Caenorhabditis elegans: one gene and its partner. The protein of the gene in region 1 interacts with the protein of each later gene in a biochemical or structural test. Each region holds a gene or a part of one and is shown on either strand. Other genes may lie near its edges.

Region 1 (7,646 bases):
CTACTCGCTTTGTTCGTGGAATAGATCAGCCTGTTTCAGCATCGAAGCGACTTATTCAATGGTGGCGCCGTTAATACGCTTCAACGTTATTTATTACTCAATTTAAAACTACGGGTCTTCTTCTCTTTCTGAAAACAAAGTTTCTCCCAGTGTCCCTTTGTTATCTTCTATCATTTTTTCTCCTTTCCATAATTCACTCTTTCCCGTTTTTTTGGCAAATTTTTAGGAGTTAATCAAAACATCAAATTTTTCTCTATCTTTTCATCTCTATGTGTATATTTTTGTATTCAGTTTTCTTTTCTCTCGGTGCACACAAATCCAAATGCTTTCAGCTTTCAATAAATCAATTCAGAGTTTTAAATGATGTTCAGCAAAAATTCATTCGAAAAAAGAGGAAAGTGTGTGGAAGACTGGTGAAAAATACTTTACACGTGGAAATATTTAGCGTAGAGATCAAACAAGTGGGATAGGAAAAAGCAAGCTCGAATTGTGAGGGAATGTACTGAAAGAAAAAACAAATAAATTTGAGAAATTGAGTGATATGGTTAAAAAATGAATCGCATTTTGCAGGAAAAAATACTCGTATGCATTAATTTGAAGAAAAATAGATGAGAAGAATAAACTTAATATTGTACTCTCATATTACGAGAACACTAAATCCTGAGAAGGCGTATTGCGCAACATATTTGACGCGCAAAATATCTGACCGAAAACTACAGTAACTTTTTAAATGACTACTGTAGTGCTGGTGTCGATTTACGGGATCGATTTTCACTTATGTTCGAATTGCGACAGTGATATTCAGTTTTTCGTATTGTTTTGTCATTTTTGTGTTTCTTTTAATATTTAATCGATTAATAAAATGTTTCCGTAAATCGACACTAGCGCTACGGTATTCATTTAAAGTGTTACTGTAGTTTTCGCTACGGGATATTTTGCGCGTCAAATATGTTGCGCAACACGCATTCCCAGAATTCAGTGTTTGTGTAATATATTCTTGCTAAAAATAAAGAGAGTGCAGAGAAAGAGATAGATGGAGACAAATCAGGCGGTACGGTATGACGCAGATGAAATATCTGCTAGATCATCATCTTCGAAGACTTCTTCACAAGCAAGGCTTACAAGACCAATTTCTTCATCTGGTGTACTTCCGGAATTACTGAAATTCTTATTGATGTTTAATGAACAACTGAAAATATTGATGGGGCACATGGTGTCAGAGTGTCCCATTTCGGCTTGATTTACGTAGATCTATGAGAATTACTAAATTCGTATGGTTAAGAACGTGCTGACGTTACATCTTTCTGGGTAGACAATTCCCGCATTTTCTGTAGATCAACTCCTAATGCGACAGCCTGACACCAATTGATGGGATCAGTATTGTATCGTAAAAGTGAATCCTGTGCTCCACAAAACTTCTAATCACATGTCGTATTTTCCTTATCAGACTAGTATCCGCTTGTTCTACTTTGACAGCCAGCTGACTTTGGTTTTAAAAAATTGTCAACTGACAAAATACGCCCAAAACATTTTTCTATAGTTCTAAACATAGATATTTGATTAAAATTGAGACATAAGAGATATAAGCTGTCAAAGTAGAGTGATGATGCAAGTTTATTAGGGGACATACGGTATGTGATCCTACCGTAGTCCACGTGAGAATTACGGTAGACTACAATATAATTACTGCAAGAAATACATTCAGGAAACCGTGAATATAGAGCTCTGTTCAAAATAAATATTAAAGCATGTCACAATTAAAGTGTTTGTTACATATGAATTATCGCATTATTGTGATACACTGTTGACTAGGTTTTTTTTAGTTTTGAAAAGATTAAGTTTTTGGTTGGAAAAGCATTTAACTTTTGATAAATTTAGGAAGATACTTAAAAACTAATTAGCCACTATAATAACTTACTAATATTCAGTACTTTCCGATTGTGGTCGAATATCTTTCAGTTTTGGAGGACTGAGTTTCGTAGAACATGTCGGCTTCTCTGTTGTTGGAGATGTGACAACTGCAGATACAGTACGAGGCCGAGACGATCTTCTAATGAATCTGATTAGAGGTTACATACTACGACCGATTATTTATAACTAGGAATTATATAGTCTACGGAAATTACCAAGAGTAGAAAAAATGAAACTTTAGACTTTTAGAAACATATAATTCTCAAATATTTCTTCCCGTTCAAACGTGCTACATGCTTCTGAAGAGTTCAAAAAACGTGCGAGATCAATCATATCAAAACTAATCTAGATCTATGTATTTCAGTGAAAACCGGTTTCTGAAGATTCTTCACAATTTGAGACCAACTCACTTGCATGTATTTATTATCCTACTTCTCATACTGCCACGTGGTGAAGCGAACCACTCGGCAGCCCTTGTTAAATTGCTGCTACTTTTTCTTCTGCATTCGGCTACAGCATTTGATTTACAGCAACTATGAACTGCTAATCCACAATCTTTGCACTTGAAGCCTTGTCTCAAAATCCCCCACAACAATTTGTTGCAATGATTGCAAGTCGTTGGAGTTAAGAATGTAGTTTCATGGAAATTGTGCTTGAATCCTCTTCGTAAATCTTTTGTATTCTTGTTTGCAGCCATAAAATAGGTCTTCAATTCATCTTTTGATATCTGTCCATCCATATCAACATCTATGTTCACAAATGCGTCAATAAAAGGGAAATTTCCAGCAATCAACTGAAATTCTTCTTGAGAAATGAATCCATCTCTATCATGATCATAGTGTTTGAATACTGCGTCCACCATTGCACTGATATGTTTTGAAACTGTTGCATTATCAGGTGCAACTGTAACTCCAGAGGCCCACTCAGCGAATACGAGTCCACGAGATGGTTCGAACTAAAAAAAAGAACAATTAAAAAAAGTTAGTTCGTTGACAAGTATTCTTTAAAGGGGTAGTCGCAATTATTTGACCAAATACATTTCAGGCTAGCCACATAAGACTGTATTTTATAATTTTGAGTATCATTTCGAAATCCGGTTTTCAGGGGTCTAATAAAGCAAAACCGAAAACCGTTACTTTTCCTGCAAACAGGAATCTTTGATTTTGTCAAAAATTTTCTGGAAAAAGTTCACATTTATCGAACGCCTCTATACAGGAAATTTTGCAAATTAAATTATAGAGTTTTTGAAAAGTTTCCAAGAAAGTTGCCATCAGATACCATGGTACTTTAAAATATACTTACATTCATAAAAGTTTTTGGTTCCCGTCTCAACGACAGCTCGTAAATATCATCATCGTTGTACCGAATGTCCAAAGACACTTTCAATGTGTTTATCAAATCCATATTCATTTCGGGAAGATTATGTCCTTTTTGATTGAAAACCAGAAAATTTGAAAGCAGTTTGGAAAGTTTCACCAATTTATCACTACTGATGCATTTTGTTTTCTCAAAATTTGCACCCGAACAATTGATTGCGACTAGGTCTTTGAGATGTACACCGCTGAAAAGTTGAAACATATAAATATTGAATTATTGAACTTTTAGAAAATTAAACACTTCAAACTCACATTATAGGTATCCGGAACTTTTTGTTACACGCTCCTAATGCTTTTCGATACTCGCAGAAATTGTGTTGAGCAGATAAAAGATTTGTCAACTGAGTCAGTTCTTTTTTGATATCGTTTGACAGAACTGCATATGTTTTGGCAAGTCGAGCCACTGATGAATGAGTTATTCCACCAACAACGGACATCAAAGTGTTAAAATTATTGATCTTTCGTAGATGCTTTGCTACATGAACAAACTTCACAAGGATCTCTGCTCGTTCTTTTGGTGTTGTCTTGTTAAGGATCATGCACTGTACCCAATTGGAAAGATTCTGAATTAATTATTGTTTTTTGTGTGATTTCGAGAAAAAAATCAAGAACCAAGAACCTACACCCAAAACGTGTTATTTAAGTGCTTGTTAAGCCACTGTTAGAATACAAAAAAGTGAAAATTACTAGTTTCTTAGAAGGCTCAAAGATCTGTCTATATTTGGTCCTGGCCGCTATTTGATCATAAACGAAGCAACCAATCCATTAAAGCTTCTAATTAAAAAATGCTCAATTTTCTTCAATAATATTTACTCACATTAAATACTGAAATACTTCTTTCCAACATTGGACATGATCTTAGATGTCCATCTTTCACATATTGCTTGAGCTCAGTTATCTGAAATAAAGGTAACCACAATTCATCATTTTGTTGTTCTAATTTATATTATTCTCACCGAAATTCTGGACAAAACGCGATAGTCGATATGAGAAAGTGACGTCGAAATATCGCTAGGGGATGCTTGGACAAATGAAAGAGAGAAGGCAGTCTGAAAATTAATTGATGTTAGAAAAAATTCATGAATATTCAAAGAAGTTGATAAATGTACTAGTGAGAATTTTTTCGAGGCAATGGGAAATGGTGGAGGGGTTCCCGGAGTGGGCAAAGTCTCGAAATCAACTCGAACTATTGTCTGAAACTCAAGGCTATTTTTCTCAAATCAGATACAGACAAAAAGCAAAACGAGGTATTCAGCGAGTGATATTTGATACAACTTTTTTTTGTTCAAAATTTAATGTTATCAAATGTTGTAAACGACAGAATGACCATCTTCGAAATTATCGACAATTCTGCAATTATATGTAATCATGTCGTGGAAATTCACACAGTGTATAAACTCTGCTGGATTTATGTGTTTTTTTTAAGTTGACTCTTTTTATGCAGGCTATGCACATTATAAATATAGGTCGACTAAAAAAGAGAAATTTAAACTCAATAAAATTGTGCATCTTGACAACATTGGAAACTTATCAAAAATCTCTCAAACTAATTTTTCTTCTAATGGCGAGTTCATCTCTTTTCAATGAAAACTTTTTGAGAAACTTTCCCAGTATACCACTTCCTGAGGAATTCTTAAATGCTTGCTTACTCATTGAATCGAGGAGCAAGTTGGGTGCGTACTTTTTATTTCAGGGTTTTGTATGATTCATTTATCTAATCTTTTTATCCGTTAATCAAAAAGATTACTTTGCTAATCCGCAATAGTATGAAATAGTTCAAAAAGTTCACATGATCTGATTCAGACAAAACAGCAATATGAACTTAAAAATATAATGCAAACTAATTGAAACCAAATTGAAATTTCTCTCCACACATCAACACCATAGCTCGCAATTCCTCGAAGCCTTCACTCTACAACAAAAAAACTTACCTGTTTAGCCAATGGATTTCTAACTGAAACTGCTCGAAGCCACGCAAATGACGGTCTGAGTTTGTTTCAACTTATTTATTTTTTTGTAAATTGAAAGTACTTACAATGCACTGACATCTAGACCATTTCGAATATTTTCATTTATATCTTCTGCTATCGTTTTCAATCGAACAACTTGTGCACAGACTTGAGGTTGCGCATCGAAATGCATTGGAAACTTTTCGATCCAAAATGATACCGCTCGACATACTGCTTCTCTTTGTTCGACGTTTCGAGTTTCCTTAAAATTTGATATTATTACTATTTGTTTTCTGTGACAGTCTTTAATTCAAAATAAAAATGTAAATAAATTTGCAAGCTTCACTCAGCCAGGTGTTTTAGGAACATCTGAACTGGGCGCGTGAAGCCGGAAATATAAAACTCAAGAGCAATAATTCAATTAATACTACAGATCACAACTTTTAAATTACCTGATAGAAGTTCACGAAATGTGTAATAAGTGATAAACTATCACTCAACCATTGATGACTTAAAAACAAGGCGTCAACAAATTCAATATCTTCAACCTCATCCTCCTCGTCGACATCTATAAAATTACCACCTGTGGTGTTAATAGGGTTTCACTTTTTATTCCTACCAAAGCATTCAACACATCTTGCCACAAGTTGATCTTCTGTGAGAAGTTCTTGATGTTGATCTTCTTCAACTTTACTGCTCATCGTCGTCGTCGTCGATGCCGTCTTCACGACGAACGATTGAGCAGAAGGAAGATTGTCTCAAGATCTAGAAAGAACGTTGGTAATGGTCTGAAAAATAACGGGAAGAATTGAAAATGGGCACACGCACACATGAATTGCAGGAATTGCAATTTGAAAATAAAATGCGATAGGTCTCTCTCTATCTTTTTCTCTTTTTACTGGCTATTTTTCTGAGGACGAACTGCTGCTGCGTCTCCGTTTTCTCGTTTCAATTCTCGGATGCGCGCTGCTTTTGCACCCCTCTCGCACGCGCATATAAGGGGAGGAGTGAGGGGGAACTGAAAAAAAAAGAAGAGGATGAAGAAGAAGACGAAAATGAAGAAAAGAAGAAGCCCGAAGTGGTGGTGGTGGAGTGAGGAAGAGAGAAGAGAAGCTGAGAAATCGATAGCCTACGGCGAGAAAAAATAGAATTGAGAGCTCTGCCAACGCCTTCTTTCTTCGGAAGCGGCAGAGCGCAAGCGGTAGCCATAAAGAAATTGATGGAGAGTGAGAGAGAGAAGTTCGAGACTTTTAAGAAGTATATGGACAAGAAGAAGAAGAGAAGCTGGTGAGTTCAAAATGAAAAGGATATAAATGAAATAGGATAGAAAAATATAGATAGAGCTTTTTTGTTCTCATTGAACATACTTAGACTATTTATTATTTAGTTAGTATAGAAATAGTGCAAAGAATATTAAATTTAAAATATATTCCTGGAACATCAGAATTCAATCAGAACTAAAAAACAATGTTGAGAACTTTCTTAGAATAGCAATTACTTAACTTTCTGGAACGGGCACCAAAAGTCTAGAGATGTGTGAAAAAATTGGCGGTTCAGAAATACGAGAAAAGTTTTCGAACTTAAAAAAGGTCAAATGATGAAGCCAAAATTTTAATTTTATTGTTTTTAGTGTTGAACAAAAGGCTCATTAATTTCCCTAAAACAATGCATCGGTTTTTAATATAGTTTTGCAAAGAAATAAAAACTATAATCTATGAAAAAAGATTAAAAATTCAAATTTCCAAACTTCACAGATTATTATGAAGATTTGCAAACAAAGAAGCCAATTTGAAAATTGTCTAGAATAATCTTGGTCTCGAGTGTATATGATCTTCAACAAATTTTTGATCCGAAATAATCGTTTTATTTTCCGTCGCTTATTCCTTATTTGTGATCTTTCACCAAAAATGTGCTGATCATTCATTTCAAACGATTCATTATATCCATTATTACTTCACGGTAAGGAGTACACAATTCAGACAGATTTTAGCAATGTCGTGGTTATTTATTTCTATATTTGGAATACTGAGAAAGTTTTAGATTCAAACACATTTTTGGTGAATGGTTAATCTGATAGTTTTATTCGCAAGTGTTCAGTTTTTTACTTGAAATAAAGATTTGGATCATTAAAAACCAGCAGAAATGACTCCTTCTGTGCCTATAAGCTTAACAGAATTCCTCTGGAACTGGACAGGTGATAAAGTTATTATAAAGATCAGTAATATAGGTACGTTACCCTTGGAGGATTTGTATTTGATAACTACGTGGAAAGCTCAGGGCGAGGTCAGATCACTTAAAGCAATACAAGTATTTCAAAAATTAACAAAAATAAATTAATTTTATAAGTTGCGCACTTATTGGTCGATGTGCAAAATAATTTTTAAAAAAAGCATACCCAAGCCCGAACAGA
Region 2 (5,072 bases), on another chromosome or scaffold:
CATTAAATAATTCAATTCATCGTTATCACCATCCTTCGTCGTCGTCGTTATCGTCAGAAACAGATAGGGATGGGTCGATACAAAAAGAAAGTGGACAGTTCTTTTCTCTCACTCTTTTTCTCTTTTACAAATCACACTTGTTTCGTCTCACACACGCTCACTTCTTGTCTCTTCTCCCAACAGTCGTCGCAAAACCGTCAAAAGCGTAGCGGCTGTCGCGTCGCGGTCGTTCGTGTCTATGCATCACCGTTTCTAGTGCTCTCTAATTGTCCCGCCGTAGCAGTAGCAGCAGTAGCAGCGGCATGGTGGGGACCGCACTCCTTTATCTTTTACTCTTACTTTGTGTGTGTGTATGGGGGGTGCGAGAGAAAGAGATAAAAAAGAAAGAAAGAGAGAGTGTGTGGTTTCTGTGCTTCTGTGCACTCCAGAGCCTCGGATTTCTTTTCCTATGAACTTCATTTCTCGTCTCCATCATCAGAAGGAAGAAGAATTCTTCAGAATCTTGCACTTGAAGCGTTTTCTGCCTATTTATTTTCTCCTCCCGAGTTCATCTCTCTATTCGTCTTTAGCTTAATCCATTTTATTAGGCACGCACCCGCTCCTTGGTTCAACCAAATGAGAAGATAGAAAAGATGGAGCAACGCATCCCAAATTGTGTGATAGGATTAAAGTAGTGTGGAAGAAAAAAAAATGCAGAGTGAGAGAAGGGGCAGTCTTCTTTTCCGGTCTTACTAATCCTAACGTCTTCTTTTTCCTTCCTATCTCTCATCTCTCAACTTCTGAAATAGTTGAGATGAGTGATTTCGTAAGTTCATTATTCTTTTTTGTCAGTTTTTGCTTATAGTTCCTACGGGAATCATTGTTTCTTAAACATGCTACTTCTTTAAACAATTTATATTTAACAAAGTAAAATTGAACGTTTTTTTAAAAACTTTCTAACTGAATTTCGTAAATTTATTTGTTTCCTTGTGAAAAATGCTTGTCAGGAAAACTTTACTTCTCTACGTCTCAATCTCTGCAATCTTTTAACGAGAGATCGGAGAATTTTGTATTGGAAAAGTGAAAAAGAAAAATGAAAGAGACCCACTCGACACTGAGGGCGACCGAAAAGAAACCGACGAAAAAAAACGACGATTCGAGCCATTTGTCAGCGACAATAAGTGGTCGGGTCGCACCACTGTCCGCCGTCTCACCGATTTTAACATTATATTGTCCCCCTTTTTCTTCATCGCTTTGAAATCAATTTTTGATGAAGTGAAGACCTTTTTTCTCCTGGTTTTTTTTTTAATAATTGCATTACCCCATTTTTTAAAGTTCAAAATTACTCAAACTATTTGAATTCTTCTTTTTTTCAAATTGTAATGACTCATTCTCCGTCGTCTTCAAATAGTTACTCATTCCGACTCACCACCTAGTTTATTAACAGGAAAGTTCATTCTTTTTCTATCTTCTCAATTATTCTCAAGTAGTCATCATCGGTTTTTTATTTCTTTCCTGGTAGTTACTCTCCTTTATCGAAACTTTTTTTTGAAAAAAAAAAGAAACGGAATTCTGAGTATGCCGATAGGCAGAGCTGCTCTTTGGCAGTGCTCCCACAGAAATCCTTCTCCACTTCGTTTTCTCATTTCCATCTCTATTTTACATTTTTCCATATTCAACTATGCGTCTTTTTTCAGAAAAGGGTAATGACGGAGTACAAGCTTGTGGTAGTTGGAGATGGAGGAGTTGGTAAATCAGCACTCACCATTCAACTCATCCAGAATCACTTTGTCGAAGAATACGACCCGACCATAGAGGACAGCTACAGAAAGCAGGTGAGAAATCATTGGGAACATCCGCTACACACATGTGGTGGGAGCAAATTGAACGAAAATGATGGCATTTGAAATTGAACAAAAAAACGATGAGTCAGAAGTTTGGAAGTTTTTTGAAACACATCGAGCTGTTTAATTGATTCCAAAGACGAATAAATCGTGCTGAAACACGAAAAATTCCGAAATTTTCGAAAAAAAACCAATTTTTCGTGTTTTGGACACGACATTATAAAATGGCTGGAACTGAAAAAAATGGCTCGAATCATGATTTTTCATTGTCCCCCGAAAATTCTCACAAAAAAAAATTGGAAAACCGAAAATTTTAGTTTTTGCAAAAACCGGAAAAATTCTGAAAACACTCCAAAATCGATATTTCTCAGACGAATTTCAATAATTACATTCCGTTTTACGTTTTATACAAAAAACAGAAATTTCACTTTTTTTTTGAGAAAGGGCCCAAAACTTTTTTTTAGATTTTTTGTTTTTTTAAAGCAAATCGATAAACCAGCATGCCTGCTCGTGTCGTGTGAGGAGTATAAATTTTTTTAAACGTATATTCATCTTTAAACTCTGAAATTCAGAATATTATTGAGCCCTAATTTTCAGTGTTTTCATTTGAGTTTTTAACCAGTAAAAATAGTTTTTCAGTTTTAAAAATTGCTCCGAGAGCTAGTTTTTAAATATTCTAATTTCAGGTTGTGATAGACGGTGAGACATGCCTCCTCGACATATTGGATACCGCCGGACAAGAAGAATATTCGGCGATGCGTGATCAGTACATGAGGACAGGCGAAGGATTTCTGTTGGTTTTCGCCGTCAACGAGGCTAAATCTTTCGAGAATGTCGCTAACTACCGCGAGCAGATTCGGAGGGTAAAGGATTCAGATGATGTGAGTTTTTTTTGTTGAAATTATCAGTCAATGGTTGAATATTTGTATTTCTTCTAGGTTCCTATGGTCTTGGTAGGGAATAAATGTGATTTGTCATCTCGATCAGTCGACTTCCGAACAGTCAGTGAGACAGCAAAGGGTTACGGTATTCCGAATGTCGACACATCTGCCAAAACGCGTATGGGAGTTGATGAAGCATTTTACACACTTGTTAGAGAAATTCGCAAGGTAATTTTTTAGTTAAAAATTTAAATTAAAAATAATGTTTTTAATGTACAATTAAGGTACAAATTCAGTCATTATTATATGAAAATTGAAAGACGCGAGATTTTGATATTTTCGCGCCAAAAATACGACACCCGGTCTGTTCGATTTGCTCCTTCAAATATTATGGTAACTTTATACTGTCGTTACAGCGGAATTTTCATCAATTTTTTTAAGTTTTCGATATTATAAAAATATTTAAAAACACAGCAGTTTTAATAAATCGGTGAAAATTACCCCAGAAACGAAATATTAAAGTTACTGTATTCTTTAAAGGCGCACATACGTTTGCATTTAACACAAATTCATCGTGTCGAGACCGGGCACCGCATCTTTAATTTGAAAATCGCCAAATGTTGCATTTGAGTAATACAAAAACGTTGTTTTTAAAAATTTTCTGTTTTGTAAAGCTCTAAAATGTTATTATTGTTATCAACAGTTTCAAGTTTCCATTTTTCACTAAAAACGAAAAATGTAAGTTTTTCCGATATTTCGAAACAAAAGCTCAAAGTTTTGGTCATTTTCTTAATTTTTAAAGAAAATTATATGTTTTCTTTTGTTTTTTTTCTCACCAGCATGCACAAAATCTGATAAAAAATTGAGTTTTATTGTTAATTTTCTAAAAAAAATTTTGATGACACCCTAGATTGATATCCGAAAGATTTAATAATGTTTTCTTTTTATTTCAGCATCGTGAGCGTCACGACAATAATAAGCCACAAAAGAAGAAGAAGTGTCAAATAATGTGATTCAGCGTCGGGAATTGCCCAATTTCGCCAACTCATTTTCAGTCGTGTCAACTCCCACCCAATTATCCTTTCTCGTACTTTTTTGGTACATTTTCATTATTCATTTATCTGTTTTATCTGAAACTTGTGATCGATCCTCTTCCGCCTCTACATACTCTTCGAATTTCCACCTTTTTTTCTCTATGCATCGATTGAACTTGTTCTCTCGTCTGCTCGTCATTATTTTTTCTCCTTTTTTTTCTTCATCCTTCATTCTAATTCCTCATCTTTCGCTTAGCCCAAATCTCCATTCATTCATAGGTGTCAAAACTAGCTGTAGTGTGTGATCCATATCTAAAACATGCATCCGAACCCCCTCCTCGTTCCAAAATTGGCCAACTCTACCAAAAAAAACATCGCACCATTTTTTTTTCACTTTCTCTGCATATTTTCAGAATGTTTGTATTGCTTTTTTGATGCTTTATTCCCCTTCCTCGTTTTCATACAAATTATTGGCCTCATCTATTTTCAGAAGTTCTCTGAAAATTAAATTCTTTTGCATCTGCCGGTCGTTCCGTTTATTTTTTCTCTGTTTCCTCTCATTTTTGTCAAGTAATTATTTCTCTTTCATTAACTATAATATAGATACAATTAGACCCCATTTCTCATACATTTTCTGAACATCTGAAAGTTTTTGCTCCCTCGTATTGCATTCATTTTTCTCTATTCCTCTACATTTTATAGTCCTATCTGAATATAATATTCCTATTCTTTTGATCAAGTTTTTATTATTATTTTATTTTCAAGGAAGTATTGCAATGATATAAATTTTAAAAAGCTAATATTATTTTTTTAAATCTATTCAACTATATTTTGTTAATTTCAGTGTTATATTTTGACCTCGCCATCGGAGCATGATTTTAAAAAAAACTAAATTTAATTTATTAGAATGACGAGAAAAAGGAAAAATGTAGAGTCTGATGAGAATCCTCCAGCGAAAAACTCATTTGAAGGATACGGATATGCTGCTGCTGATGCTGAGAAGAAGCCACAGGAGGAGAGAAACAATTTCAGAACTTTTCTAGCCAAAAATGAACGATTTGGAAGTGGAAATCGAGGTGGAGGAGGTCGTGGAAGAGGAGGAGATGGTGGATTTAGAAGAAATGATAGAGGTGGACGTGGTGGTGGTGGAAGAGGATTCGGTGGTAACAGAGAATTCAGTGCCGGAGATTTTGAGAAGGTTTGTGTCAGATGGTGTCGTGAGTGATGTAGCGTCTCTGGCTTTTTAAACTCAAAATTACAGAAAAAGTTTCGATATGTCGAGTTAAAAACATTTCTAAAATTTGTATTATTTTGCAAAAAATAAAAAAAAGCCG

The links.
Region 2: of the proteins of rgef-1 (region 1) and let-60, one has a biochemical effect on the other in vitro, tested with the Caenorhabditis elegans proteins (one study listed by BioGRID).

The regions. Positions count from the first base shown.
Region 1 is NC_003283.11:9,555,672-9,563,317, forward strand, and holds rgef-1 (Ras guanyl-releasing protein 3), read right to left. Parts: upstream 6,001-7,646; 5' UTR 5,938-6,000; coding exon 5,856-5,937; intron 5,805-5,855; coding exon 5,689-5,804; intron 5,499-5,688; coding exon 5,323-5,498; intron 5,274-5,322; coding exon 5,219-5,273; intron 4,337-5,218; coding exon 4,244-4,336; intron 4,186-4,243; coding exon 4,105-4,185; intron 3,851-4,104; coding exon 3,540-3,850; intron 3,473-3,539; coding exon 3,214-3,472; intron 2,867-3,213; coding exon 2,322-2,866; intron 2,051-2,321; coding exon 1,919-2,050; intron 1,160-1,918; coding exon 1,045-1,159; 3' UTR 356-1,044; downstream 1-355. Other genes in the region: ehbp-1 (EH domain-binding protein 1), read left to right, coding at 1-74.
Region 2 is NC_003282.8:11,687,691-11,692,762, reverse strand, and holds let-60 (Ras protein let-60), read left to right. Parts: upstream 1-1,674; 5' UTR 1,675-1,685; coding exon 1,686-1,814; intron 1,815-2,509; coding exon 2,510-2,704; intron 2,705-2,761; coding exon 2,762-2,932; intron 2,933-3,657; coding exon 3,658-3,717; 3' UTR 3,718-4,536; downstream 4,537-5,072. Other genes in the region: ZK792.5 (Nucleolar protein 9), read left to right, coding at 4,646-4,936. UniProt on the Caenorhabditis elegans protein: GTP-binding protein with GTPase activity. The level of let-60 controls the switch between vulval and hypodermal cell fates during C.elegans vulval induction. May stimulate the guanine nucleotide exchange factor (GEF) activity of rap-1.